Arabidopsis thaliana: one gene and its partners. The protein of the gene in region 1 interacts with the protein of each later gene in a pairwise test. Each region holds a gene or a part of one and is shown on either strand. Other genes may lie near its edges.

Evidence for each region.
Region 2: the proteins of CDKB2;2 (region 1) and CYCB1;1 interact in a protein complementation assay, tested with the Arabidopsis thaliana proteins (one large-scale study listed by BioGRID).
Region 3: the proteins of CDKB2;2 (region 1) and CYCB3;1 interact in a two-hybrid assay, tested with the Arabidopsis thaliana proteins (one large-scale study listed by BioGRID).
Region 4: the proteins of CDKB2;2 (region 1) and ICK5 interact in a two-hybrid assay, tested with the Arabidopsis thaliana proteins (one large-scale study listed by BioGRID).

The regions. Positions count from the first base shown.
Region 1 is NC_003070.9:7,290,645-7,297,611, forward strand, and holds CDKB2;2 (cyclin-dependent kinase B2;2), read right to left. Parts: upstream 4,103-6,967; 5' UTR 4,021-4,102; coding exon 3,788-4,020; intron 3,407-3,787; coding exon 3,265-3,406; intron 3,177-3,264; coding exon 3,115-3,176; intron 3,023-3,114; coding exon 2,911-3,022; intron 2,779-2,910; coding exon 2,685-2,778; intron 2,598-2,684; coding exon 2,528-2,597; intron 2,437-2,527; coding exon 2,298-2,436; intron 2,204-2,297; coding exon 2,108-2,203; 3' UTR 1,864-2,107; downstream 1-1,863. Other genes in the region: AT1G20925 (Auxin efflux carrier family protein), read left to right, coding at 1-108, 187-266, 339-463, 538-659, 755-889, 966-1,058, 1,149-1,249, 1,329-1,381 and 2 more; AT1G20940 (F-box family protein), read right to left, coding at 4,630-5,874; AT1G20950 (Phosphofructokinase family protein), read right to left, coding at 6,823-6,936.
Region 2 is NC_003075.7:17,619,960-17,627,188, forward strand, and holds CYCB1;1 (CYCLIN B1;1), read right to left. Parts: upstream 4,350-7,229; 5' UTR 4,250-4,349; coding exon 4,210-4,249; intron 3,942-4,209; coding exon 3,763-3,941; intron 3,666-3,762; coding exon 3,480-3,665; intron 3,390-3,479; coding exon 3,264-3,389; intron 3,176-3,263; coding exon 2,927-3,175; intron 2,844-2,926; coding exon 2,685-2,843; intron 2,606-2,684; coding exon 2,424-2,605; intron 2,336-2,423; coding exon 2,170-2,335; 3' UTR 1,927-2,169; downstream 1-1,926. Other genes in the region: AT4G37480 (Chaperone DnaJ-domain superfamily protein), read left to right, coding at 1-636, 797-882, 1,163-1,303, 1,472-1,637; AT4G37483 (uncharacterized protein), read right to left, coding at 1,634-1,861; AT4G37500 (Aldehyde oxidase/xanthine dehydrogenase, molybdopterin binding protein), read left to right, coding at 5,429-5,668, 5,822-5,956; AT4G37510 (Ribonuclease III family protein), read right to left, coding at 6,300-6,617, 6,715-6,801, 6,887-7,087, 7,182-7,229.
Region 3 is NC_003070.9:5,579,464-5,589,107, forward strand, and holds CYCB3;1 (cyclin b3;1), read right to left. Parts: upstream 7,999-9,644; 5' UTR 7,929-7,998; coding exon 7,914-7,928; intron 7,608-7,913; coding exon 7,568-7,607; intron 7,488-7,567; coding exon 7,427-7,487; intron 7,331-7,426; coding exon 7,295-7,330; intron 7,153-7,294; coding exon 7,092-7,152; intron 6,999-7,091; coding exon 6,947-6,998; intron 6,861-6,946; coding exon 6,764-6,860; intron 6,609-6,763; coding exon 6,573-6,608; intron 6,383-6,572; coding exon 6,328-6,382; intron 6,095-6,327; coding exon 6,040-6,094; intron 5,949-6,039; coding exon 5,891-5,948; intron 5,638-5,890; coding exon 5,583-5,637; intron 5,467-5,582; coding exon 5,421-5,466; intron 5,321-5,420; coding exon 5,230-5,320; intron 4,987-5,229; coding exon 4,932-4,986; intron 4,720-4,931; coding exon 4,435-4,719; intron 4,357-4,434; coding exon 4,234-4,356; intron 4,106-4,233; coding exon 4,016-4,105; intron 3,927-4,015; coding exon 3,765-3,926; intron 3,686-3,764; and 8 more. Other genes in the region: AT1G16310 (Cation efflux family protein), read left to right, coding at 1-216, 306-386, 462-692, 781-1,122; AT1G16320 (plant/protein (DUF2358)), read left to right, coding at 1,488-1,819, 1,980-2,469; ATKDSA2 (Aldolase superfamily protein), read right to left, coding at 8,660-8,716, 8,796-8,843, 8,923-8,970, 9,059-9,157, 9,260-9,304, 9,419-9,477, 9,601-9,644.
Region 4 is NC_003070.9:18,364,058-18,370,275, forward strand, and holds ICK5 (Cyclin-dependent kinase inhibitor family protein), read right to left. Parts: upstream 2,688-6,218; 5' UTR 2,518-2,687; coding exon 2,224-2,517; intron 2,106-2,223; coding exon 2,053-2,105; intron 1,968-2,052; coding exon 1,782-1,967; coding exon of another isoform or gene 1,778-1,781; exon of another isoform or gene 1,705-1,777; coding exon 1,635-1,704; 3' UTR 1,279-1,634; downstream 1-1,278. Other genes in the region: PREP2 (presequence protease 2), read right to left, coding at 4,348-4,492, 4,751-4,822, 4,919-5,099, 5,201-5,363, 5,469-5,733, 5,893-5,990, 6,070-6,153. UniProt on the Arabidopsis thaliana protein: Binds and inhibits CYCD2-1/CDKA-1 complex kinase activity. May target specifically CDKA-1.

The DNA of each region.
Region 1 (6,967 bases):
TCATCGATACCAGTTGCGAAGATTCTGTTGATAACAGGAATTGGATTTTACTTGGCTCTTGATCAAGTTAACATTCTCAATCACGATGCAAGAAAACAACTCAACAATGTCAGTGTTTTCCGTCACATGCATAGCCATTCACCAATTTTGGTTAATTTATTCTCTTATGAGTTTTGGTTTCTACAGATAGTTTTCTATGTGTTTAGTCCTTCTCTTGTTGCAAGCAGTTTATCTGAGACTATTACATACGAAAGCATGGTGAAAATGTAAGTGTTTTTTATTCAAAGAACTGATTCTTCTTGAAAATGAAATGTTGATTTTGTTGGGGTCATTTTCAGGTGGTTCATGCCACTTAATGTTTTGCTAACATTCATCATTGGTTCGTTTTTGGGTTGGATTGTTATCAAAATCACTAAACCTCCTTCGCATCTCCGTGGCATCATCGTTGGTTGTTGTGCTGCTGGTAACTTTAATATCATCTTACAAAAGCTGTTTTCATTTTCTTAGATTCAGTGATGAGATTGTGTAATCCAACAGGGAATTTGGGGAATATGCCACTCATTATCATCCCAGCTATATGTAATGAAAAGGGAAGTCCTTTTGGAGATCCTGAGTCTTGTGAGAAATTTGGACTTGGTTATATTGCACTCTCTATGGCGGTATGTCACCATTTCTTAACTACTTCTTATGCTTCTCTACTAAAGTTTTTTTTTAATGCCAATACAAGTCAAAAACGTTTTGTGATGTATATCAGATTGGAGCCATTTACATATGGACTTATGTATACAATCTTATGCGGATGCTAGCAAATCCTGCTGGAGAAACCGCAATAAACAGTACCTCGTCTACAATGCCACTGATTTCTCCCAAAGTCGAAGTTGCGGAACAGGTATTAGTCTAAACTTTTCCTTCTTATATTCTTGTTAGCCAACTTACTGATTTTGAGAGAATGTATATGTGACAAGGTTGGGACTTGGGGCAAGGTCAAACAAAGAGTGTGCTCTGTAGCAGAGAAAATCAATCTACGAACAATATTTGCTCCTTCAACTATTGCAGCGGTTTGTTTCAATGTTCCCTTGAACTAAACGACTGCTATCTAGCTTCTGTATGTTCTTACTAGTTAAGCAACTAATCCTCTTTCTCTTCAGCTTATCGCGCTTGCGGTTGGGTTAAATCCTTTACTACGGAAGCTACTAGTCGGTAACACAGCTCCACTTCGAGTGATTGAGGACTCAGTATCTCTATTGGGGTATTCTACAACATATTAAAAATCTCACTTGTCAGTGATAATTAACAATGCTTACTTGAGTAGCTTAATTTTCTTGAAGGGACGGGGCGATTCCTGTTCTGACTCTGATTGTTGGAGGAAACCTTCTCAATGGTAGATAAACAATAACAAATGGCTGCAGAAACTTTTTTTCCTAAGACAAAACCTTAAATCTCTGTTCTCTCTCTTATAATAATCACAGGTCTGAGAGGTTCAGGAATAAACAAGTCAGTCATAATGGGTGTGGTGGTTGTGCGTTACTTGTTGCTGCCAATATTAGGAGTTTTCATAGTACGAGGAGCGCATTACTTGGGTTTGGTTACATCCGAACCGCTTTACCAGTTTGTTCTTCTGCTTCAGTATGTCGTTCCCCCAGCGATGAATCTTGGTTCGTTCTTCAGACTCACAAAAATACTACCAAAACATGTCATCACACTGTCTTTCTCATAAACTCACTTGACCTTTTGGCAGGTACAATCACTCAACTATTCGGATCAGGAGAAAGTGAATGCTCTGTGATTCTATTCTGGAGTTATGCCTTGGCTTCAGTTTCTCTCACTGTCTGGCCAACATTCTTCATGTGGCTCGTAGCCTGAACATCCACACACACACACTTACACAAATGGGAAACAGTTGCAAATCTTGCTACTTTGAAATATTAGAGAAACTGATATATTCTTTCATTGATAAAAATGTTGGAAGGTTATACAATTGGGAATAGAGACCCAATCAAAAGGGAATATTGAAACTTCAATCATCCTAAGATAGCAGATAAATGCTTGAGACAAGCAAAGACAGAGATAGAACAAAATATCCTATTGAGAGTTTATAAAGAGAGCCTCAGAGAGAGGACTTGTCAGGCAAATCATCGAAGTAAGGATGCTCCATAGCTTTCTTTGCTGAGATTCGTTTTGCTGGCTCGTACTCCAGCATTTTCTGTGCACAAAGAGAAACACAAATTAGTCTCAGCAGAGTGATTATCTACTAATCAAGCAAGGTCTGAGAGGTGTGTTAGACACTAGAGACTTACAGATAAGAGATCAAGTCCAGCCTCGTCGAGGTTTGGCACAGCTGTGGAGAGACTCAACGGTTTCCATTGCGGGTATTCATGCCAGTCCTTGAGTTTGCTTACTCCAGGCCAAACTTCTTCGTTTGGTGTTCCCAACAACCTGAGTTTGACAGGAAAGAAAGAAACAGAACAACCAAGTTAGCGAATGTCATGTTTGTGTCTTAAAGGTAAAGATGAACACAAAGACTTACCTGAATATACGGAGGAGCTGTTGGAGCTCAGAGTCTCCCGCAAAGATTGCTTGCTTGGTCACTAGTTCAGCTACACATCAAAAAGGAAACAAAACTGTTAGTTCTTGCTAGTGACATTGAACTGAAACCAGTGAAACTGTAAGAGAAGATTTTGTACCAAAAATACAGCCAACAGACCACATATCCACTCCAGTAGAGTAATGGGTTGCTCCAAGAAGAACTTCCGGAGCTCTATACCATAGAGTTAGAATCTGTTGCAAATGAAATCATGGGGGTAAAATCATCCTGAGTTATAACTCCAGATAAACTAAGATAGAATTAAAAAAAAAAAAAAAAACTAGAATGAAACAGGACTAATGTTTCATCAACGTAGACTTATATACCTCATGTGTATACTTTTTCATTGGGAGAGTGAAGGCTCTGGCTAATCCAAGATCTGCTATTTTGAGCGTCATTGTCTTCCGGTCCATCAAGAGATTGTGAGGCTTAAGATCCCTGTAATGAAACCAAGACAAGTAGGATTAGAGATCTGTGTCAAAATGGGTTATCTCAAGTCATAGTTCTTCCAAAACAAAGACGATTTTTACCTGTGCAACACTCCATGACCATGGCAAAAAGCCATGCCTTTGCATAACTGGTACATCAAGCACTGCAATTCAAGAACATGTTTCTCTTAGCTTAAAGGGGCTTATCGGATGAGAGAAAAAAAGCAGAACAAAATCTCCAAATATCCAAACCTTGACAGTATTTTGTGGAATGTTCTGTCCAGCTTGACGAAAGCTTCTGATGAATTTCTTGAGATCAGTATCAACATACTCGAAAACAAGGTAAAGTACAGTTTTTCCTTCTTTGTTTATTCCTTGCTTAACATCCATCAACCTGTAGAAGAAGATAATCATCATAACAATAATCTCTCAGTAGAAATGCAATCACCACAAAAATAGTTGAAACTGAGATCACAACACAGAGCTTCTACTTTGACATTTTCTAGTATTCGGATAAGATAAGGAACCCATTTTATCTCGATCGGACCACACAACAAATAGCAAACTGAAACTAAGATCTACCAGTAACACCTAAGAGCGACACTAAGCGCGATTTGCAGGAAGAATCAGAGTCATCAAATCAATTGAGACATCAATTAATCGGGACTAAACCCTAGAAATCGAAATTGAGTCCTAAATCCACAATCAAAACCAGTAAATCGGAGAATTTCAGAAAGTGACTGAACCGAATCAGAAATGTAAAAGGAAATCGAACCTAACGATGTGAGGATCACGAGCGAGCATACGCAAGATAGAGATCTCGCGAAGAGTAGTGGGAGGAACACCTTCTTCATCCTCATGGAGACGCGTCTTCTTCAAAGCAACGATCATCCCAGTAGCTTTCTCTCTTGCTCTGTAAACTTTCCCATAAGTCCCTTCACCTACTTTCTCAAGCTTTTCAAAGGCTTCCATGGCGGAAACAGCGGGTTTAACTCCATTGTTGTCCATCTCTATCAATCTCTCAAGACAACTCTTCTTCTTCCTTCGCGAATCTCAGATTTTGTTTTCAATTTGGGGAAAGAGAGAGGAAATGTAATTAGATTCGAGAATTGGTTTAAATAGGAAGGAGATTATTAAAAAGGTATATTCCCTCTTTGAGCACTCATGTTTTTTCAACGGTTCTTTTTTTCTTTTTTCAAAATTCAAAACTGGAGCGTCGTCATTAGTTTTTTTTTTATGTTCTGTTTTTAAGTGTGACGTGGAAAAAGTGAATAACCAATGTTTGTCAACATCCGGAGACGGTTTAGCTACACGAAAGGAAAAAAAAAAGGGGAGAGTTTGTTTTTTGGTCAAAAGGTGTGAGTTTGTTGTTAGATTCGACAAAACACACAAGATGGGCCTTTATTGGGCAGGACGAAAAATTGACAAGCCAGAGAAGAACAAGTTCTTAAACAACATTGTCTTAAATGATTTTTTGTCCCAAAAGAAATAGTAATATACAACTAATTTTTAGATTTGAAATACATAAACCATAATAGTGCAATGATAAAAGCAAATGGGAAACAAACATTCTTATAAATCAGGACATTTTTTGTATAATCTATAGGCCCTAAATGTTTACTTGGTGGTATCAATGAGTCCCATAATCGAATTTATATAGGAGATGCGTCGGTCATTAGAAGCAACAAGCACCTTCTGTTGCTCATCCTCCTCTACAAAGAACAAGGAGGGCGTCAATTTATAGAAATCTCGGACGCAATTGGGCCAAGCAAGGGTTGACACCAAAACTCCCCAACTGTTAGCTTCCATGTCGTACACATGAAGAACACTTGCCAAAGGTTCTAAACCCATCTTTTTCACCCTCACCACAAGACACTTGCCATCGTACATAGCTATGTTCCAATATACAAGCGTTTCTTCCTCGATAGATATGTTCTTGATCCGCCTTGTGAGTGTCCATTTGTGATTCTCGACAAGTGTGTAAACGGAGATTGTTTCTATCGTCCCCGAAATTAGGGTCAGGCGATTGATCTTAACGCTTTCCGCGAAAAGTAGCTTCGTATCCGGTTCCCGATGAAATATGGAAGGAATCAAGCATGCTTGCTCTGTCTCGGGATTAAAAGACATGATGCTGCCATCGTTTCTCAGCCAGTGAAGAGTGTTGTCCAAGTAAACAGGTTTCATCCGCGTAGTGAGATCACTTTTTGAGCTAGTGGTGATACTCGTTTCCGATAATCTCCAAGAGTCTCCTTCGTTGATCTCGAATCCGTATACGTTTTCCATCTCGAGTATGCCCACGATCTTGAATCTCTTGGTTGTTAGATTTCGATTTACCGCAAATCCAACGCACATCGCTCGTTCCGTACAAGCAACATTACCTCCAGGATAACTAATTCCGCTAAGACCTTTAAGTCCACCATTAACTATCATTGGTATAAGCTTTGATCCAGAATGATCCAGGATTCGAAACCTTTTTGTTAAGGGATTTGCAACAAAGAGACAACCAATGTACAATAGGAGAAGACCAGAGCATGAGCCGAAAATGTAACAATCCGCACTACCATCAAACAGTTCTACTCCATTTCCCGGTGACATATAATCGCATGAAGAGACCAAAGGATGGCAACATACATAAGTAGCGCCATAGCTACCAAGGTTAAACAAACTAGGTCTGACCCATGAAGGATATTCCGGTCCAAATCTTGGATCACTTAAATATGATTTGATAGAATTGTTAGTGCATCGCATCATAGCCATAGATTTGGGTTCTAATCTGAAGAGAATCTCGTCGAGAAGGTCTAAAGGTAAATCATTGATGATGGAAGATGAATCAAATTGAGAATTTCTTGGCAAATTATTCATGATTCTATTTTGCTTGGCGTATGTGAATATTTTTGTGTTATTTTCAACATATATATATATATATATATATATATATATATATATATAATAATAGACAACATATTATTACCAAAAAAAAGTAACAATCAATTCTAATCAAGGATAATCTCAGTATCTCACCATTATAAGAAAAATTCAAATACAACATTAATATAAATTTAGTTAAATTTTTGAATGATTTTGCAAGATAATTTGAAAATCAAATATTAATATATATTTTATAGGTTTGTCATTTTGCAAAATAATCTGTTAGTTATTAATTTCATTAGTTGAACAAAGAAAATTTACTAATATAAAAAAATGACAAAATCTAATATCTTTTAATGATAAATATTTCTTAATATCTAAATAATTTCTTCATTTAGTTTCTAATTTTTAAATAACTAACAATGTATTTAGGCTAAAGATAGTTTTTAAAATAAATAAAAGTGTATTTATGCCAAAGCTGTACCTAAGATACTGTCAAAAATCTATCAAAATTTATAACTGGGATTTGGGAACATGACACGTCATTGGTTGTTAAAGTTAGTTTGCAAGATACACTGTATTTCTAGTATTTTGGTGTAGTTAAGATTAAAAATGTAACTCTTAAAATTTTAATGATTCTTTTTGTAAACAAAATCGTGTTCAAGCGATGCTATTGCTATATGCATCATGCATGCATGCCTAATTGTCATATTTAAAAAAAGTTTGTAATAATAGTGAAACTGAAAAATAAAAGTTGGACAAGGATTGATATGGTGAAATAGCGCCTCTATAATCCAAACCTTTTCAATTTTTATGTCTTTCCAAACTCAATAACTTAAAAAATACAACAAAAGTTACATCTCAAAAGAAAGAAAACAAAAAGAAGAGAACAAACACGACGTGTGTGATTCATAAGAGCTTTGTCCTTAAGTTTTAAGCAAATCATTGACCACCATTTGAAGAAATAGTAGTAAGAACATCAGTCACCGAAGCCATCACACTCAGTGCTGCCTTCAATACGTCTTGAGAACATCCTGGTTTCACTATCGTCCTCACCTGACCAAACCCCAAAAATGTTAATAAATAT
Region 2 (7,229 bases), on another chromosome or scaffold:
TATTCAGCTATACGAGCGGCCTACTTTGGGCCTGATGTTGAATCTGTTGAGCTTCTTCCTGATTGTTTTGAAGCTGAGGAAAGGTCTGTGTATGATACACGAGAGGTTTTGCATTTGGTATCAGGACGGGATCTTTTTGGTATGGTTTCCTTGGTTGATAACTTCCTTGAGCTTTCTTCTGCTTGCTCAAAGAAATTGGCTTTGTCGTCGTTTATGGATTCGGACCTTGGTCAAGCAGTTGAGAAAGGCAACAATGACATGATGTCTGCTGAAAGGATTGGTCTTCAGATATCTCATATACAATCTTCAAGAAGTAAAAACCATGTTTCTGATGCGTATAAAGATATTCAGCTGCATGTATCTGGAAGAGTTGTTGCTACAGCCATTAGGGTTCCCCCAAAAGGGTATCATGAAAAGAAACAAATTGAGGGTGATCACGATCTTATACACGTTTTCCTCAATTCAGATGAAGGATCTAATCATGGCACTGAATCGCCTCCGGGAAATGAAAGTGGTGCCAGACTTCTTGTTGGAACTATAAGTGGTCTTGGGACAATCCCAGATGAAGGTTCATGTTATGTCTATGATGGGAATGGTGCTAAGACTCATGTGATAATGAAACATAGGACATTTCTGGTTTGTGACTTATATGATCTAGCATTTCTTTTTATGTACCTTTCGCAAATTACAACGTGTACTTTTTCGGGGAATTGTTCTGTGATGCATATAGAGATATGATCCGCTAGTTATTTGATGGAATAGGCATGTATGAAAATTCTTCATCCACACTCTACAGGTGAGACATTTGCACTGGTACAAAATTGGGGAAAAGGTTTCCATTTGTGAATGTAGATGCAGTAGAGCGAAGTTACCACCAAGCAAGTAAGCCAAATATTATTTTTGTTTTATTTTAGTTCTGGCTCACCTTTAACTCGATAAAATAACAAGATTGGACAGCCTTTTCACTGTTTTCATCTTCGTTAGAATGCAATTCAATAAATTGATATCTGGAACACAGAATTCTGTAGTTTCCTTTGTTGAAATGCTGAAGTAGTCAGTGATCTTTGTTGGAATGCTGAACTTATGATACTGATCCCTAACGTAGCCTTCATCTTTCTTACCTCAGTGACATGAAACCATAATTGCATGGATTTGAAAACAGGTTTTGGTTGTTTGAGCCTCGTTGTGGTTTGCATGATGTCGGAGGATGGTATGTTGAAACTTATGGGAAAGATAAAAAGAGCAGGACGGTCCTGGCACAAAGATTCTGGGATGGCCTGGAAGAGGGGAGTACACTGGATGGGTAAGCTTACTATACATATGAAGAGAAAGCAGCTTAAGATATTCTACTGGCATCCTTGTATCTGCGTTGACCACATTTTTCCTCAGTCAATAAAGTCTGGTTACATCTCTGTATTAGTTGTTGTTTGTGAAGTAATCTAACTTATATATGACTTTTTGTATTCTCCAGGAGACTGCACCCAGGTATCTACTTGCTTACACTAGCATATCGTACTCTTGATCTTGAAGATGAAAAGAGAAGGAAACGGTCAATATTGGAGATCCTCGAGGCACGGTTATCTAAAACATTGGATTGGTGTAAAGAATTGGTTAGAAGAAAGGGCCTTGGAACTTAATATGGTAAACCTTCTCCCTTTCCGGATGAAGATCCAAAGATGATTGGATTTACAATTTCCGCATGGATGCTAGCACTTCCATTTAGACTTATGAGGTTGTGGCTAACAAAATGCTCACCAAAGATGGGAGTGCTTAGTTGTTTAAGGGGATCTTGCAGACCAGAAGGTGGTTTTAAAACCCAGAATGGACGGGACCAGAAGGAACACAAGAAATGGTGAAACATATACTGTGCTGGGGTGTTTGATCAAAAAAAAGAAGAGAAATTCTGTGTTGGGGAATGAATCATGTGTACTAAAGAAGTTAAACCACAGAATATTATATCTAAGGAAATTAAACTTCTCGGAAGAAACTGACTTCTTACAAGATATGCAGTGTTTGGGAATGAATCATGCTAAAGGACTAGGTTTCAAAGCGACTCATTAGACTTGTTCAAAATACCATTATCTAATGAAACTAGACTTGATTTTCAGAAGGAAAATGAAACTAGGCTTGGTTCTTCAGCTTCTTCGTCTTCTTAAAGGGTCCTAACTCCTAAGCAGATTCAGTTCCGGTCAACAAAGCTTTGGCCGGAGGGATCAAAGCCACAGCGAAGCGTTCGTCCTTGGAGTATTTCTTTCGTAAAGCTCCCTTAGTACTGCTCTCACTCCCTTCTTCTTGTTGCTTCCATTGCTGATACGCCAACAGCTTTGCACAGTCCCTTTTTCATCATTACAACAAGAATGAATATCCAACCACAAATGCAAAACGCATATGATGCAAATGAAAAAAGAAAGGAACTTTCTTACATGAGCTGAGTCTCAGAATAGCCAGTGTGATGCTTGAGAGTGCTGGTCCATATGGGAACTTGGCGGAGAGAAGATCTTGCTGCGTAGATTGCAGAAGCAGCTACCATTGATGGACTGAACATTATCATCGTATCGTAATGCATTACGCCTAACTCAGCCAAATAGTGCACCATATTCTCCATCTGCAAACCAAAACACAACTGAATGTTCAATATGATGAAATGTATAACCATGGAAGAAACTAAAAAAACGCTCTCTTACCTTTTCGTCTGCAATGGAAGCTTTGATGAAACGAGCTAGGAAGACATAATGAGTCGGAACTGTCAAGTACCACTCAAGTGTAGACAGTATTGTCTTCTCCATCACCAGAATCTGTTTGTGACTGTATGCATGGTCTGCAATATCAACTAGATCCTCCACCTGCAAAAGAATTATCTTTTCATTTAGCCGAAGACAAAAAAGAATCAAAACCAGAAGATTCAAAAGTTCTCTGTTTTTATCACCTGTGGTGGCCAAATTTCTTCATACTTGGCCGACATGAGAAGAGCACTGAGACCAACAAGCTGCAGTTCTTTTCGAGGCACTGGCTTAACCGACAAGAACCGATCCAGAATGTTAACAGTGAGGTAAAATGTTTCCGGGTTTAGCTCGAATCGGACATGCACATCAATCAACCACTCCACCAGGATCAGTCTCATCTTTTCATTAATATCAGGCTGAGATGCCATGTAATCTCGTGGCCTCCATTCACTCTGCCAATCCAAATGATAATTTAAGTAAACAAGTTAATACTACAACAAAGCTGCAAGGAAAGATTCATGAATAGTATAGTATACAAACCTCAACAGACTTGTAAAAACTGTAAATATCTTCCACATATTCCACAGCTGCGAGGTCATTCTCAACATCAGCAGAATCGATATCAACAATCTTTTCTTTCTGTTTCTTCTCTAAACCACAAGCAGCCTGAAAAGCAAAAGAAGTTTATTCAGAACAGACCAAAACATTTTCTTACTTCACACTAAAGAATCATCATTTCACAAGGTAAAAAATTACCTTGCTTCTAGCAGTAAGAACAGATGTGTAAGTGGTCGCTTTCTTCTTAGTAGCCTTCTTCTCTCGAGCAGCAACTAAACCAAGTTCTTCATCACTGTCTGAACTTATCTCAATCACGTCTACTACCTTTGGTTTCCCAGCCACTTTCTTCGGCTTTGGTACTGCGTTTCTCTTGACTACAGGTTTCTGCAGATCAAAGACATATACACATATGACATGAGTTTAACAAATCTAACGAAGAAACCTAATTTGTTCACCAAAATACAGGGGAAAAGGAACAAACTTTGAGATTATCCTCCACAAGAAGCGTGGGATTTTGAGATCGTGTACGAGGACGATGATTGATCTTTTCCGGTTCGTTGTTCTTTGGGTAATTTCCTCGAACAACATTACCTATATCACCAAGAACTTGACGGTTTCTTCCTTTCGCTACGTTTTTGCCATCTACCACAACAACATCATCTTCAACACAACAAAACAAAACCAAAGTTAACAACTTTAGATTCAATTTGCAACAATCATCAGCCATATCAAATCAAGAAAATTCCAGTCAAAGCCACGGACTTTATACTTGATTCGCAACATATTCGTTTCGTTGTTCATAGATATAACAAGAACAGAAAGAAACGAACAAAACCCAGATACCAAAATCGAAGATCACAAACTAAACCAAATCAAATTTTGTCCGTAAAAACCTTAAAAAAAGAAAAAGCAAAGATCTTTCTCTTACCCGTGGATTGTTGAGGAACAATCGAACGAGAAGTCATCATCTTAGTGTTCTCTTCTCTTTCTCTCAGACTAAAATCTCAGGTTTGTAGTAGAAAAAGTCTAAGTAGTGGGGGCGTCTTCTATATAGGAGGCTTCTTGAGGACGATGAGCCGTTTTATAAGAAATAAAAACAAAATTAAAGAAAATAAATGAACCCCAACGGTCTGATTGTTTTTGAAAAATTAGAGGTCGTGGGCTTGTTACGGGCCTTACGGCTGTAGAGACACGAAATCGGGCTTTTTCACTATTGGGATTTTGAAGTCACAACGGCCCACTTATTCTTTTTATTGACTGTGAAGGATATAGGAAAAAAAAAAAAAAAAAAGATTTGTGTGAATTAGATTGCTAGTTAAATCCGGTTAGTTAGATGTTGATCTCTGTTTGGTTTACATGGTTTTGAAATGAAAATTGATTTTGGTTCGGTTTGCATTAGAATTAGTACGGTTTAGAGAAAAAAAAACAAAAAAAAAAGTCACTCGAGACTGTTTTGGAAACAAAGCGAGTAGATGTAAAATAAGCATGATTTTGTGGGTTTACCCCTACAGAAATCGACGACACGCGCTCAACGCGAGGTTGGTGCGAGTGGGCGTGGTCTGTAGCGCGTGGCACGAGGTTGGTGCGAGTGGGCGTTTTCTGGTGCGCTCTGATTGGCTAAAAAAATGAAAATAGTAGTGATGCTCCTCCTCTATTATTTTGTTTTTCGTCATTCCTCGGTTATGAAAGTTGTGTGGTTTTAAGATGGAATTGAGTTTATTCTGAGGTTTTTAGTTATTTTGAAATCATTGATTAATGTCACCAAAAAAAATAGAAACTAGATTTTGAGATACTAAAATTTTCATTTTCATTTTGTTCTGCAACCATTGAAAACTAGATTCAGCTGAGCCCCTGAAGAAATCAAAGTGAGTTGAATATTTTTCTATAAATGTGAAAATTGGTAAAAGTTTGTCCTCATTTTGTTAGTTTAATGTTTTCTTGACTTTAGGAGATGAACTTTCAACTGCAAAGATCCCATCACACATTAATCTCACTCTCTTCCGCACATTGCATGGTGTGGTGTAGCTATGGTTCCCACACAATTGTCATATTCATTTACCACAAAGTTCATGAATCATGTTAGAAGTGAATCCTTTTTCTTTCAAATTTAGTCATCTCTCGAGGAACTTTAAAGGTAAAAGAATAAGATGAAGCTTCCTTGGAAATCTCAGCATTGCACTACCTTTGCTTGCAAATCTAGAATCTGGATTTTAAGATACTTACTCCAACACATATTATTATTACAGGCCGGTGCTCTTGTTCATGTTTGCACCAATGGGACTGTTTTGGTGACACATGGAGGTGTTGAAATGGGTCAAGGATTTGCATACAAAGGTTGTGTCATTCCCCTTAGTTCAGTTTTTGTGTCAGAAACAAGCACATACAAGGTACATCTAACTCGGTTACATGCACTCAGTGGACTTTTTGGCCAAGACAAAACTGATATTGTTCTCTCTTATCATTTTTGTGGTCTCTTAATAGGTTCCAAATGCCTCACACACTGTTATTGCTCCCTTGTCGTTTTGATTGCCTCTTAATAGGTTCCTAACGCGTCACCTACTGCTGCTTCTGCGAGCTCTGATATGTATGGTGCTGCAGTTTTAGACGCTGTTGAGCAGATTATAGCTAAATTGGAGCCTGTTGCATCTAAACACAATTTCAACTCCATTCGCTGAGGGTAGCTTTAGAAGAGCTCAAGTGGGGAGATGCAGCTCATACATGGATTTAACCAGGAGCTTTACTCACTTGCAGACCTGGAAACTACAAAATACCTTAAGAAGAAACTTTACTCACAACATTCAGTTTCTCTTCTCAAGGTATGCAACCATAAGAAGAAGCTCTTTGAATTGGTGGCAACAAATTTGAAACTGATGAACCTAAGATTATACTGATGAAGCTCATTTTGCTAGTTTAAAGTTTTCAACTTTTCACCAAAGGTAATTAAGCATTTAACTACATAAATCAAACCCAGTAGTATACTAAAAGACATTAGACAAATGAGAGAGACAGCTTCGATTTTCAGACAGCTTTAGGTTGGATTTGTTCGAAGTCGAAAACCTCAAACATGAGCCGCCGAACATCGGGTTTCCCGTAGATGGTGTAGGCGAGGCCGTGAATGGCTTGTTGGACAGCGGTTGTCGCCGGATTCCTAAGTCTCCGGTTATGTTCATACCGATCATGAACCTCCTCTGAGTATATTATAAAGTTGTGAAGACGTTTTTCTCTAAGATACCGGCCGCAGAATTTGTTCATTAATAGACGTCTATGCTTCTCTTGCAACCACTTCCCTGGTGCGTCCAAGTGCTTCATTAACAAACGTTCAGCCATTGCTATGTCCTGCATGATCCCGAGACGAAAAATCGGGTTAAAAAAAAAGAAAGAAAGAAAAGAACCGTTCTTTTGATCTTTTAAGATGAGAGATCGTTATCCTCACCTGTATCTTCTGTCCTACATATTCCAGCCGCTCAAAACAAAACCGCGGGTGTTCAAACTTATGCTTTGAAGGATGCAAGAAGCAGAGCTGTGTGATTTAAGGTAAGTGAAAAAAGTTTAGAGAAGGAAAGTAACATATCACATGACAAAGCCAGAAGTAATAGCTTTTGTACCTGTAAACCGAGTCCAAGTTCGATGTTTCTTGCTTCAGTTATCTCCTTGATTCTATCATTCATCGTTAAAGGGTATCCGAGGGTCTGCATAACTTTTGGTTTGCTGTCAAAATCCCATATGTTCCCTCTGAAACGATGCATTCCCGGTGGAACACAAGCTCTGAATAGCCTAGGGTGTGCGAATAAAGCATCTTCAGGAGGCTGAAGCAACAGGAGAAAAAATAAAGAAATCACTCTTGTTAGATAGACCAAAGAAGTAGACTGTGATTTTGTTATATCATGCAGTTTTATTTACCTTGTAAGTAGCAATATCTTGCCAACCTAGCTTTTTCCCTTCAAATTC
Region 3 (9,644 bases), 1.7 Mb from region 1:
AGACTTGCGGTTCACATATCGAACGCAACAAATTTGGTGCTTTTTGTAGCAAAAGTTTATGCCTCTATGGAGAGTAGATCCATGGCTGTGATTGCTTCAACTTTGGACTCTCTTTTGGATCTCTTGTCTGGTTTTATCCTCTGGTTTACAGCTAATGCCATGAGAAAACCAAACCAGTTTCACTATCCTATCGGAAAGCGCCGGATGCAACCTGTGGTATGCTTCTTCTGTTTTGATCTCTTAACCCCTTTGTTTGGAACTTACTTGTCTCACAAGAAAATAGAACTGATAATGTAAATTTACAGGGTATCATTGTGTTTGCTTCCGTGATGGCAACTCTTGGACTGCAAGTTTTGCTAGAGTCAGGAAGGCAACTAGTTGCCAAGGTACTTTACATATTTTCAGGTAACTGCTTTCATCGGTTAATTAATGTATTTAACCAATTCTGTTTTTTGTTACAGAGTGGTATTCATATGAATAGCACAGAGGAGAAATGGATGATTGGTATCATGGTCTCTGTCACCATCGTGAAGTTTCTTCTAATGCTTTATTGCAGAGGATTTCAGAACGAAATCGTTAGGGCCTATGCTCAAGATCACCTCTTTGACGTCGTCACTAATTCAATCGGCTTAGCAACAGCTGTCTTGGCCGTCAAATTCTACTGGTGGATTGATCCTACCGGTGCTATACTTGTAAGTAACTAACTTAGGAATCTAAAATGATCAAGAAATGTCTCGTCGGATTACTAAAACGTTTTTTTTTTCCTTTTTATGGTTGCAGATTGCTTTGTACACCATAGCAACATGGGCAAGAACCGTACTAGAGAACGTCCATTCACTGATCGGCCGCTCTGCGCCACCAGATTTCTTGGCGAAACTGACATTCTTGATATGGAACCATCACGAACAAATTAAGCATATTGACACAGTAAGGGCTTACACTTTTGGGTCACACTACTTTGTGGAAGTGGACATTGTTTTGCCAGAGGACATGAGACTACAAGAGGCTCACAACATCGGAGAGACTCTTCAGGAAAAGCTCGAGCAGCTCGCTGAAGTAGAACGAGCTTTTGTCCACATAGACTTTGAGTTCACTCATCGTCCTGAACACAAGTGTAACTAGATTTTAAGTAGTAATTTGTAGTACTATAATTAGTTCTTTAGTTTATGTACTCTTCGTGTCGTTTTTGTCTATATAGATACTTGAACGTTGTGCCGTCTCTGTTTATCGAATGCGCATTGTGTGTCGTTTGAAGCTAATCGTCGACATTAATAGCGTTTCAAACACTAAACTCAAAATAAAGATAAAATCATATATAATAAAATAATGAATTTTAAATGAAAACCACTCAAAATGGTTTTTATCTATCTTCCGACAAAATTCCGTGCTTCATTGCTCTTCTCCACAAGACAACATTTCTCTGGCTCAGAATCGACGCCATGGAAATGTAAAGAAGAAACAAAGACGAGCTCTCAAATCCAGCAGCAATGGCTTTTCTTCTTTCTAATCTATCATCTCCGTCAATCCATCTTCAAACCGGAAAATACCCAAACCTTAAACCCATTTTCAGTCAATCTCTATCGTCTTCGTCTTCTGTTAGCTACGAATTTGTAGAAGAGAATCTATCTACACTCTCTCTATTGAGCATCCAGTCTCCTCCTCTTAAAGACACGCAAGTTCAGACAAGACACAGTTCGCAAGATAAGCATAATAACCACGACAGAGATGAATTCTATATCAATCTTGGTGTCGCTGTCCGTACACTTCGTGAAGATTTGCCTTTGCTCTTCACTAGAGATCTTAATTACGACATCTACAGGTAAATTTCTCGTTTGGGTATTTGATAATTGATGAAAGAAAGAATCTTTGGATGCTATCTTCAGAAATTTATCATTTTGGTATAAAAAAGGAGCTTCCTTTGATCTCTCTGTTTGTGAATGTTTCTCTTAGAAATTCAGAATATTTTTTTTGTTTGACAGGGATGATATAACATTTGTGGATCCGATGAACACATTCACTGGGATGGACAACTACAAGATTATCTTCTGGGCACTCAGATTTCATGGGAAGATATTGTTCAGAGATATCTCACTTGAGATCTTCAGAGTATGGCAACCATCAGAGAACATGATTCTCATCAGGTGGAATCTCAAGGGTGTGCCTAGAGTTCCATGGGAAGCTAAAGGAGAGTTTCAAGGCACTTCTCGGTATAAACTCGACCGTAATGGCAAAATCTATGAGCATAAAGTCGATAACTTGGCCTTCAATTTCCCTCAACAGCTCAAACCTGCAGCTTCGGTTTTGGATTTGGTGACTGCTTCCCCTGCAAGCAGTCCTAATCCTACGTTCTTTTTCAGTCCTGTGGACTCTTATTCATCTTCATGGGTTAAGTTTTATCAAGCGGTGAGAGGGACATTGGAGACAGAGGATATGTTTGTAACAACAGACTGTTTAGTCACATGCTCATAGTGGAAGTAGAGTTGCGATATAGACACTCAAGGTCACACTTCTCAGGTGTATATAGTTTTTACATTAAAGGTTTCATATATATGAGTAGATCTGGTTGACTTAATTCTTGGGAAACCTAGAATTGTTATGTTGTTCCAAAAGCTTTATACAACGTTATCAATACAATGGAGTTTTGTCTTTATGATTATGTGAAACAGTAATATTACTCAGTGGTTAAACACACAGAAAAAAACCAACACACCTAATCAAAGAATCACCATTAGCCTGAGTTTTCTTAATATCCGGCTAGAGTCCATGTAAATGTTGTATCTCCCTGCAATTTCCGAGTAAGGATGAACAAGATCAGTTCAATAGAGAAAACGAATAGAAAACAAGTTTTCAGCTCATGAACATATGTATATATATACACACCTTTAGACTGGTCAGGCTTGCCATGACTTTTGTATAGTTCAACTTAGAGAGGGAGTTTATCTAAGGGCTTCAAGACTGCGACGTTACTGCGATCTGGATTTATGTACTTCTCATAAGTGACCCTCAGGTTTCCTGTTTTAGCAGCTTTGTGAAACCTTAAGATCATGTCAGAACAGTCCCTGTGATAAGAAAATTGTGTAAGATTAGTTAAAGAATGTAACTAGTCTAAGTGATCTACAAGGAGGAGTTATTAATGAGATTTTAACTTACTTCATCTGGGAGACATTGTAGTGGGTATGGTTGTTTAGGAGCGAGGTCCAAACTGGAGTCATATGCAAAGTGCATCTGGCAACATAAATGGCTGATGCACATAGCAGTGATGGCTTATACTTCAAAGCTTCGTACTCAACCAAACACAACTCGATAAGGTAGAAGGCGAGTTGTTCAAGCTGATAATAGAAATAATACTATTCAATGTCTACCTATTCAAACAGAAGAATTTTATAGGTTATTAAAGCATACAATGCAGGTTTTTCGCGTACCTTCTTATTGGATTGAGCAGCTTTTAGGAACCTCAACATGAAAACATAGGGGGTGGGTGCATTCAAACGGAACTTTAACTGTTTAAGCATACTTCTCTCCTGAAAATGAAAATTAGGATAAGTTACAAGGGGAAATACGCAAATGACCCGTATTTTTTATAAAGAATAGAGAAGTTTGACTATAAACAGAGTTCATTATATACCATTCCCAAGATTTGTTCTCTGGTGTATGATTCTGCGGATATGCTGATCAAGTCTTTGATCTGCACATGGACAAAGAAAATAGATTGTAAATGTCTATTTTCAGGAGAGGTATTAGCTTTCAGGATAAATGTCTCTTACCCTAGGATGCCAGTAGTCCTCATATTTAGATGCCAATAAGAGTGCAGTAAGACCTATCAATTGCATCTCATTTTTATGTATTGGAACTTGGGAGAGGTAACGGTCTAATAAGTCCATTGTCAGGTAAAGAGTCTCATGCATTAGATCAAATTTGAAATGAACCTGCAAACAATAAGTAAAACCTAAGTTTCCACAAGAAGAAGTAGGGATAATATCAAGTTGAAATGGAACCAAAAATATACTGCACTCACTTCGATAAGCCAGTTGATCAAAATTCCACGCGTAACTGGACTGACTTCTGCATGAGCTGACAAGTAATGTCCCAAAGCTGGATTTAATGCCTGCAACAATATTTCACGTTAAGCTACTGGAAAGCTAAAATTCAATATTCAAACTGCAAGTAAAATTACCAAATTAGTAATATTAGAGAAAAAGAAGTTGATGTATGTGGAAGAAATAAGTGGATTACTTCTGCAGTCCAATAGAACTGATATATGTCATCCACATATTCTGCAACTTCCAGCTGATTGGATTCATCATCAATGCTTGGAAGTTTTTCTGGCTCTGTGGTTTCACCATTTTTCTCATCGAACTGCAAGTAAAATTACCAAATTAGTAATATTAGAGAAAAAGAAGTCACAAGAAACAACACAACTAATAAATTACGAACCTTTGATCCATTCACTAGTAGAGATGTGAAAGACTTTCTACGTTTTGATTTTGGCTTCGCTGTAACATCCAACACTTTTGTTGTTGGGTCTTTGTTTCCACTAGATGAACTCTCTCCTTGAGTGTCTTCTTCAAGACATTTTGTCTCAACCTTTTCCGGAAGTGACAGTGTTGAGGCAACTGCAGAAGAAGGGATTGAAGAAATAGATCTTGATTTACTTCTACCCACTGGGGGCTTCTTAAGAGAGCTACGGTTTTGTAGCGAAGTCTTTACAGTTGTCTGGATCTTGAGTAAGAGAGAAAGCTTATCACATATTTAATAAACAAAAATCCTCAATACGACTGTAACTATTGCCCGATGAAATGATCACGAGCAAGAAAACAAAGATGAAAGAAGAATGATTTAGCAGTTCAATGATGATAATAGCCAAGGCCAAATAGTGTGGCTTTAATGGAAATGAATCACTTGCATAGATATGAAAGGACTAAGGTGTATACCTTGATAGATTTCCTTACGAAACGGACGTTATTCTTACTCTGCTTATTGCCGTCCCTAAGCATGTAAAGAAAATAAACTTAGCAACTTGGGATATAAGTTGCTGCCCACAAACGATAAAAGAAAAAAATAATCTGATTCTCCAAGATGTAAAAAAGTCGTGCATTGATAATGAAAATGCAAACAAGGATTCTGTGAATGTAGACAATTTGATAGTTGGAAGTAGACATGTGTGATACGCAAGAGAGAAACAACTTCACTTATTTAATGATGATATCAGAATTAAGCATATTTACTTACGATTGTATAGAGCCGACACTTGTTCGAGTTTTCCAAGTATAGGTTCCGGCACTGCTTAGCTGCGGGACAGCTTGGTTGCTGGCTTTACTGGCTGAAACAATGCAACATCAATCATATCAGATACTGACCAATCAAGTTACAATTTTAACATACACATTTCCATCAGAAGTTAGAAAAGAAATCCATGTTACCTAGACCCTGACCCAATTGTTTCGAATTTAAGCCTGAGACATTGAACTGCGCCAAGATAGTAAATACACAATTAGTAAACTGTCCTAAATGATTAGCCTCACGAGTTGTTGTACAGCCAGTTGTAAGAAAAAAAAACAATCTCAAATTAGATTGATAACAACCTTTTTTAAGCTCTTATCTGTGAGGCTTGTTCTCTTTAAAGTTGGTAAGGACTTTCTGCAAGCACAAATCAATCAAGGAAGTTAATCAATGAATGATGTAAATCATTCTCAGCAGATACTAAAGAAAATGGCTGGTAGATTAATAATGTTTTCGCTATGGTGAATGAACAACAGGTTACTTGATGAGAGCTTTGACATATTGATAGGTAATGTAGGGCATAAACAAGATATCTATTTTTTCTTGGAAAATTCTTCAAACTAGTCTGGAAGCGGATAATCTATTATGCATGAGATTAGCACGAAGGTACCTTGTTCCACCAGCCGTTGATCCAAGGCTCAAGGTTTTGTTTTTGATGAATTTCTGACCTAAAATATGATTTAAAACAAAGTTAAGATAAATGGCAAAGATCAACTAAAGCCATAGCCATGAAAACAAACATAACATTTAGGAAGTCACCTGTCTTGTAAAGGTTATTGTTCCCAAGTTCGGTGGTTCTTTTACTCACATTCTCCTATATCAGAAAAAAGAAACAATCTAGAATCAAGGCTTGCAAGAAAAATGAAGGAAATGGCCATCAAGTAGTTTAACTGATGAATCTCATGCTTTAAGACACAAAGTTTGTAATATTTGCTGTAACTCATATGCTGATGAATTGTGATATTCTGGTTAATCTCATAACTGCATCTAGTCATAGTAATTTGCAAGTATACAACATGATATAGTTTGCCAATACGCTTGCTATACCTTAGTAGACTTTTTCACTGAGATATTATTAGCTCTGGTTGGACCAACTGAGACCCTACACATGGAAAGGTCAATTAGCCCAGCATCATCAACTCATTTTCAAACATCAGATATTATATACATGGAACTGTACGGATTCGTTCTGTAAAAGCTCATCAACTGAGATGAACGACTAATCCTAAGTAGAGATGTAACGTATTGCATGTATATGATGTGTATAGCAGCAGCTAACGATTACTGCATACCTTTTCGGATTTGCCATTTTTACACCTTTCCATTTCCTGCATTGTTGCATGTTCAGTAGAATAGTTTTAGAACAGAATGCAAATCAGTACAATAAAAACTAACTAACTGATTAAGAAGTGAAGACCATGGCAGTTAATAACTCTTTTCCATGAGGGATAACAAAAAACCCTTAAAAGTTAAGCAATTTTACATGGTACTGCTGCCACAAAGCGTTGGAATCCTTAGAGTGTTCCCACCAAGATTACTTAAATCAGCCAAAGCTTTTCTTGTGACTTTAGTGTATTCCTCTGAAAAGGAGACAAATATCGGAGTTAACTTTCAAAACTAGGTCCCAAAAATGTAATGAAGATATACTCTCCCTTATAAAGCTTACCCCAGTTTTCAATACTGCTTTTGCCCTTTCCTGTGATTCTCGAATTTTCCTTCTTTTTGAATCAAAACAAAAGTGCATTAACATGTGAATAAGTGCATAACATCCAACACTTGTATGAACTCAGAAACAGGGAAAAGGGATAAACCTTCATATTGTTTGTGTTAGAAGTTGCTCCTAAACCATTGCTAATTGTTACAGACTTTCTCCTAAACAATGTAAAAGCAGAAGATTAATTCTTACAGATTCGTAAAGTCAATTTCTTCATGATCAAGCCAAAATATGCACCAGTAAATACATCATGTAATGGATGGAAGAAAACAGAATAATTGTAAAAACAGCAACACAAACCTCAAAGGAATACGAGTCTTCTTCTGTGAAGTACCTCTGCAGAAAGAAATAGGTACAGTTTAATCCAGATTAACAAATAGCAACAGTTTAATTCAGATTACTGAAAGATGAATTGCAAGAGGATCCACTTACATTGTACTGGCTGGATCAGTTTTCTGATTATCGGAGAAGATTTTGAAACTCCTAGTACTCACTGTTTAACATGTAAACATTTTTTTAGAACTGAATAAGGTTCACCAAGTAACTAACAGAGGATAAAATAGTCTCTCTTACCTCGATTTCCAAGAATATCATCTCTACTTAGTCGTGGTGCCTACAAAAGTAAATCAATCGTAAGTGAAATAAGAAGCAAGGCTTTATCCCCTGTGATTTTAAGATGAAGTTGATCTAACTAACCAAATCTGAGAGTAGTAAGCTACTGAAAACTCAAGAATCTAATCTTGTGATAAAAGAAGCAGAAATAGGCAAATACCATAATATCTTCTATCTTCGAAACAATTCAAGATCCCTAATCCTAATCTCGTTTAAAATAACAAGCCCTCGCTCGAATCTCAAATTCATCTGCGATGAACGTAGTAACCCTAACTCGTTTTTTGAAGAAATTAGGATTTTCACGTACCTTCGCGAACGCCATTTTCCTCAAATCTCCAGATCTTCTGCTTTGTTCTTCCCAGAAACCCAATTGCAAGAGAGTTCTACCGTTGCAAATTCCCAAAAGTAGCGACGCCGCTTCTCAAGTATTTGAAATTGAGCCTATCTAATTTACGATTATGCCCCTTCTGTTGCTACGTATTTTCTGCTTTTGTTTGGGCTTTGTTTACCCAAGCCCATTTTAATCCAACCTAGAGCTTGTCAGACCCATCATTCTATTATTCTGAAAAAATAAAATAAAAGAACTTCACTGTTTGCATTTTGTTAGTTTGTTCAGTTTCTCAGAGGATACTGTGCAAGTGCAACAACATAAATTTCAAGTCCATAGAAAGAAACCATGCATTATGTAAAAAAACTTAAAGAAAAGACTACAAGATCAGGTATAGAAAAAGTGCTTTATGTTGACATAAAAAGTAATTTAACTTCTAATTGTTGTTTATTTCTTCAAAAATAAAACAAACTTAGACATTTGATATCATATCAGGCAACATCAGCTACTTTGAATATACATTAGTCACTGTGGAGAGATGTGTTTTGCCAAATAATGCTTATTGCTCCGACAAGATTGAAATATTATCAAGAAGATGTAGTTGCACCCAAAGTGACGTACGGACCTGCAAAATGCAGAAAAGAATCAGCAAATGATGAGAAAACAAACAAAGAGAGTTCAACATTTCTATCTTGATTTATCGGTCACTAACACACCCTTTGATTCTAATCACGATAAGGCGTGAGATCGATTTGGAACTGTTGTTTCCCCTTTGTGACACTCTGCAAAGATGTTATAAGAGCCAATGTTACAACAAAAGGAAACAGATTAAATTTTTATGGGATAATGTAAAGGGCTTACCGCGATTGCAATGAGCTCTTCTAGCAGTTCTTCTAGATGACGCAGAGGCTGAACGGGAAGAAAAACGATGATCAAGAATGCATTGTGTTAGACTAATGGATATGGTCTGAAAAAAAGTAAAACTCACCCATTGTGTTGGACCATCGACCGGTGCATTTAAAGGATCATCATGCACCTAATTCACCGGAAAATGAACCAAGTTTCATAACCAAATTGGAACAAAGATTCAGCGAGATGACAAAACTTGCGATAAAGTTGGATACCTCCATGAAAATTCCATCGACACCAACAGCTACGGCGGTTCTTGCTATGCATGGTATTAATTCGCGAAGGCCACCACTAGCAACACCCCCACCATCTAACTATATAAACAAGGTATGTTTGAGTTTAGACCAATTCTGATTTAGCTTTAAAACACCAAGCATTTTCTTAAATTACTCAGAGCATCGTTCTAATGACCATACCTTCTTGCCTGCAGGTTGTTGTAATGAATGAGTTATATCAGCAACCTGAAGCCAATAACTAAATTATATTATACGAGTGTCAAAACATCAAAGTATAAAGCCAAAGCCAAGATATAAACTCCCACAACAAGAAAAGAACAAGAAGCAATATTAACTCACAACGGGACAATCAGCTTCCCTCATCCATTCCAAATTTCGTGGATCTACTATTAAATCATCTGAGGAACAAAATTAAAATGTAAGGACACTCAGGAGTTATATCCAGTGTCTTTTAGTCTATTTTAGTCTCTATTTGCAAAAAAATTGGTGAATTCTATTGACACAAAGAACAGTTAACTTACTGTATCCAAACATGGTTCCTCTTTCACAAACCATCACATTTGGA
Region 4 (6,218 bases), about 11 Mb from region 1:
AATCATAATTTTTACATAACTAAAGACTCGGTCATCTTTTACCCATTCTTTCCTCTACATCCCATATTACTTCCGCTGACCAAAGAGATAATGTTAAAGATGACTTTTTCTGAAGTTAAAATGTTTTTGAAAAAAGAAAAAATAGACATGAAAGTAGAATATGGAAAAGGATTCGAACTAATAAAAATAACATCCGTTTTTAATGAAATAATACTTGCTAACTAATATATATATATTCACTAGAGTTTTATTGTTCTTCGTTATTTTTTAAACAAAAATTGTGAAAAATTTGACCTGGCAGGATAGGAACAGTTAGAATAGAAAGCAAAACTTACATTTGCCTGGTCACCAAGTCACAACATTATATGTTTCACTACTTTGTGAGTACAATGCCTAAAATACCCTTCCCTCGTCACGTGGCTTGTTGGAAGAGGTAACCTAATTATGACGTACATTATTATTTAGTTTTTTTCCTTAATCGCACTATTTTTATTTTCTTCAATTCTTTTCAAATTTAAATTCGTGTTGTTAAGTAAAATATAATAACAGTCAGTTCGCAAAAAAAGTACATAAATAAGGGAAAGGAAAAAAGAATAAATGAAAAGAAAAACTAAAATAACAGAAAGCACGTGGAGTCACGCGCCTTTGCCTGCTGTAGGAAATTAAAATAAGAAAAGAAAATTAAAAAAAGGGAATATAATCCCAACGGAATCAGGTAATGATGAGATCCTCTCTATTCTCTTCTCTCTCTTCCTTTTTTGTATTCTTGCCATTTAAAGTTTTAATTTTTTGCCGTAAAGCTCATTTATAATTTGAAAATTAAATTTCAGAAAGAAAAAAAAACGTCAATCATCGAGAAAGCTTTCAAATTTGCTTCTTTTTTTTTGATAAATAAACATTCAACTTTGTTCATAAAGTTTTCTTGATAAAATAATAAAATAAATTATTTCAAGGAAATTAGAGGAATATTCATTCGAACTATAGAGAAAGTACATACCAAGTGTATGATATATATATACCGTTATGGTTTTCTAATTTTACCCATTTTCCTTAAAATCTATATTTATTTTCTTCTTCCTATTACCATTATTGTTTCACTAAAACAATTGTCGAAACAAGAAAAATAAAAAAGTTATAAAATAGCATATAAAGTACAAGCAACAAAAAGAAGAGAAAAAAACAATTTCTATAAACATCCAAGGTGAGAATCAAAACAATAAATAGTTTTCCAAATTCATAAATACGTAAATCCTCCCAATTTCATGAAAATACTAATAATGTGCACAACACCAAATTCACTACAACAAAACTGACAAAAATTAGTGAAACTTTACTGACACAATAATTCCAATTTTTAATTGTTGTAACCCCACTTTTTTTGTTGAACAATCCAACAATATCACCGAGACAGAGAGAATTAAACTCAAATATATGTTAACACTTCTAGTTAAAAAAAAAAACTCTTGGTACGAAGAACAGATGAAGATAATGATGAAATTAAAATTAGATAAAAACTGTACAATGAAATGTCTCTAAAAATTCTTCTGTCTGTGACAAAAATCACAGTACTAGGACGTGTAACTTTAGCACTGTCTCTTCTTCTTTTTCTTTTTTTTTTTGTTCTTCCATGGCTTCTAAGGTTTCAGACTAACCCACTGGTACCGACCTTCAAGCGGCGTATCATTGACGATGTCGTAGTTGTACCTATACATGTTTTAAACAACTGCAAGTTAAGGATCTCTGCTATCATGCGCGTGTGTGTGGGTCTAAAAAAGACTCACTTTTCTGTGAATCGTTTCTGTTCGTATCTCTCCGCCGCCGAGAAAAAGTCATCAAGCTCTGCCTGCGTCGGTGATTTTTCCATCTTCTTCTTCTTCTCCGTCTTTCTCTGATCTCTCATCTCCGTCGTCGCCGAGTCCATTTCTGCTGTTTCTCCCAGATTCTCGCTTGATGAAATTCCCTGTTTCCTGTGAAATTCCAAAAATTATGAATTTATAGACGAAACAATGAAGAAATTGAAAAATCTTTGAAACGTCTTTTTTAGTAATTAACCTGAAATTGTTGGTGAGTAACGTTGAGATTTCGGTTTCGGAGATTTCATGAGCCTGAAAACGGAAACAAAATTAATTAATCCAAAAAAACGTAATCAGATCTTGCTCAGAGAGCATTTATTGTGAAACAGAGAAATTTCAAAATTTGTAATCTCGAGTTTCGAAATTTCACCTCCAGATCTGAAAATGGAAGACGAGTAGCGATTTCGTTAGTTTCGCTGCTGGAACAACCAGAGCTGATGCTTGAGCTTAGATGATCGTCTTCTTCTTCAGATAACGCGACGGAGCAGAAACCTCCGGAATCTGAAACCGAGTAAGCCAGAGAAGAAGAGGAAGAAGAAGAAAGAGTTCTCGTCGGTGAGCGTAAAACGTCATCATCATCATCGAGTCTCATCCTCTTGATGTTTGATCCTTCGTACTCAGAATCTCTCTTGGGTTTTGTTTCGCTCATTTCTCTCAAGCTCATTATAGTTTTCTCTGGAGAGAGTTTATGAAAAAGTTGGGGTTTCTCTGGTTAATAAAAACAGAGGAAGGGTTTTGGGTATTTGGGGGAGAGGAAGATGAAGGATCTAGAGCCGTTGATTAATTCAACGGCTGAGATTTAATTATTGGGCCTTGCCTATAGCGGATGGGCCGTTGTTGTGCCGGTTTTGAGTGGGGTCCTTTAAACTGAGTCCCGTTCACGGGGAAGCAGGTAACGGCGTCGTTACGGAGCGTAGACGCCGTCGGGATTCTAAACGACGCGTCTTTTTTGCCGTTTTTAGCTTCCTTTTAAAGCAACCCAAAACTAAAACGTCGTCCTATAAGCTGTAGAAATGTGAGTTGTGACAGTAATTTTTGTTAATTAATCTACTTTCTACTATAGATTTCTTAAACTTATATTCTTTTACACGTAAATACATTTGTCAAAACAAAAAAAATAATTCTGATGGTTGCTGATTCATAATTTCTATCATAAGCTCTAAATATCAACTTCTTAAGGATATAACTAGGCACATAGATTAGAGTCTAAAGCATTCACTTTCTTATGAGCAGCTTCACATGGAGACAGAACTATAAATACAATCAATTAAATAGTACTTATTAAATGACAACAACAAAAAACCAACTTAAAATCCAGCTTTTACATGGAATCTGTACATGTCCAAAAATGGGTTAAGAATTTTACACATACAACATGTTTATTTCCTTCTAATAAAATGGGACCATTTTCGTTATTTTTTGGCAGTGAAATAATGAGCAATAATTGACCGTTACATAATAATTGTGCTAACAAGCATTTACTTGGGATTTTTTTTTTTTTTTTTTTAAAGTTACACATGTACAATATCGAAAATATGAAATATTAGAATCTAGGCTTCATTTTGCAAAAAATAAATAAAAAATAATCTAGGCTTCAATTGTCCGATTCTGCTTCTTCAATAATTTTAAAATTTATCACAAGAAAAAAAAGAAGACTCTTCGTTAATTTTCATCCATAATAATGATGTAATCAGAATTTTCAAGGATAATGGTAAAAGGATGAGACGAAGAAGATTCATCAATACAAGTATCTTTGTTTATGGGCTAATTTACAAAAGTTATCTTTATGAATCAATGTTAATAAAAAGTAACTTTAAAGACTAATTCACTTATAAAAGTAACATAGAGATCTTGATGCCAATGTCCTAAAAGAATAAGCGTTTCAATTTCACTTGGAAATGTTTAAGACCTACGACCTACTTCAAAAACACAAACAAAAACAAATGAAGCATGAGTAGTCACATTAGATAGTATGACAATAACAAGATCACGACACATGATGAATAATAGATGCATCTTTTGTATGACTGAGAGCCATTTGTTTTAACAAGAACAGGCACTGTTCGATCCGATCCCAGCCAATGATGAATATAATGTCTATTTTGACTCATCATTTTCAACAAAATGTGAATCAAACGAAACTGGTTTTATAACCTAAAAGGTACAGGAAAATCCTCGAGAGCTTATCTTGATACGATAATGGAATATAAATAGAACTAGGATTCTTAGTTCTTAAAGAGCAAAGGCTAAAACGAAAGAAAAATTGTCCAAAAAAGTAACAACTCAAATGCAACAGTAGCTAAAGCCTGTGTTTTCAGGTAAAAATGCTAAATTTCAACTGTGATAAGTCATGATGTTGGCATATATAACTATACAAAACACAGTGAAGTAAAACACAAATAAGTACGAGCTTAGAGATTTGATGCGTCGTACCGTGAACCTAAGAAGAGTCATTCCTCATTGTGACAAGCTACTTTCTAAGAGGGTCTCAGACTCAGAGAGCTGCTTTCTTCACCTCGAAAAAATTTGAGCGTTCTCTGTTTGCTGCATCAATGTCTTCTTGTGATGCCACGGCCACTGCAACGCCTTTATCACTAACAGAGTCTATTGCCTCTGCGAATTCCTTGAAGTCCTTCAAACTGAAAAAGGATAAAATGGAAGTTACTTTTCTTATCTGTTTGATAATAACTATGTCGAAGAATTGCAACTGGCTATTTGGTAATATTCAAAGAAGTCGTTAAACTCCTAACACTACAAAACTCAGATCACAACATTGTCCCCAAGGATTTCATAAATCCCCACAGGATATCCGCGGCATACCATTATGTGGAAAGTGAAAAAGTTGTATAAATTGATTTGTATATACGCTAAAGCAAAAATGAGAGAATGCTGTTAACCTTGTAGATAATATCTCTTCACGCCTTATTTGCCTCTCTTCGTCGGTTACATTAAGTAAATGCCTCAACAAACTGTTGATAGAGATGGGAAATTAGATTGAAATTCATTACATTCCTTGAAAAAAAGCCAACAAAGACCAGAGAAGAACCCATAAATAAACATCATACCTGGTATAACCTTTGGCATCAGGGAGTTGGTATGAATCGACATCGCCAATTGTCCCAATAATTGCTTTGGTAAGGGTGTCTTCATCGACATCGAGGCCACGTAAGAAATCCCCAGTTCCATCATATATGTCTAGAGTCTTTAATAGGTTGGGATCACGGTAAGATAAGAACGAAAATACTCCTGTGCAAGAGAAAATCCAAAGGTCAGGTCTGACGCAGAATTTGCAACTTGGGGAAGACTCTGTCAGATCAAAATCAAAATGGAAAAGAAAAACAGTTTACCCGAATGTGAATCAAAATCACAGGAACCTCCATATGCACCACCACTTACACGAACACGATCCCATAACCATGTGTTACTAATATGCTTTGATATAACATATGAACTCCCATCAAGTTTGTAGCCACTGCTGTATATATTTCCCGCTTTTCCCACATAGTTCACCTGTCAAAAAGGCAAGAATAGAATTGTGGAGTAAGTAGAAGACGGGTGAAGAGAAATACACGCCAAAGGACACAAAATATATAGAAGGGTTTTCATTTTATTTACCTGGGTTGGTATTACTATAGCTTCATTTCTCAAAGGAAGTCGAGCATCCCAAGTGACGAGTTCACCAGACGGATTTTCAGGGAGTAAATCAAGAAATTTTCCAACATATTTTTCCGTGTTTGTGAGGGACTTCCCATCAGCAGTCATATTAACTATGCAACCATTCCTGGAAAGGAAAGATCTTCTGATTTCCTCAAGTGAGGATGAAATTCCTTCCCAGTCTTGATCCACCTTCTGTTCAAGAGTGTGTAGAAATTCAAGGTAACTACAACAAAGATCAAAGCAAAACTCTATTAGGCTCTATAAGTATAAGATCAAACTAAGAATATGAATTAAGTTTCTTCTCCCACAGATGCAATCAAATCAAGAGGTCAAAACAAATGGTAAAAACTAACAATGAAAGAAAGAGTGATCAAGTTCCAACCTGAGACCACCCATCTGTTCAGACATCCATCCAGCAACGTTCAACATTGCATCCATCCTCGCAGCAGCAATTCCTTGACCACTTCCCCTCAATCGGTTCTAAAATGAATACGAGTTGGTGTTATATTACTACCACCGTTTTCTATTAAGAATGCAAAAGGAAGAAGGAACTGCATACCTCCATTCGTGCTCTACTCTGAGAAACGAATTGTTTAAACCGCTGTTGATCGGTAAATCGAACCTCTTGCAGCACACAGTTCATCTGCAGCAAGGCAAAAGTGAATGAAACATAAGAATCAAACTACAACTTCTATAGGAAATTAACTA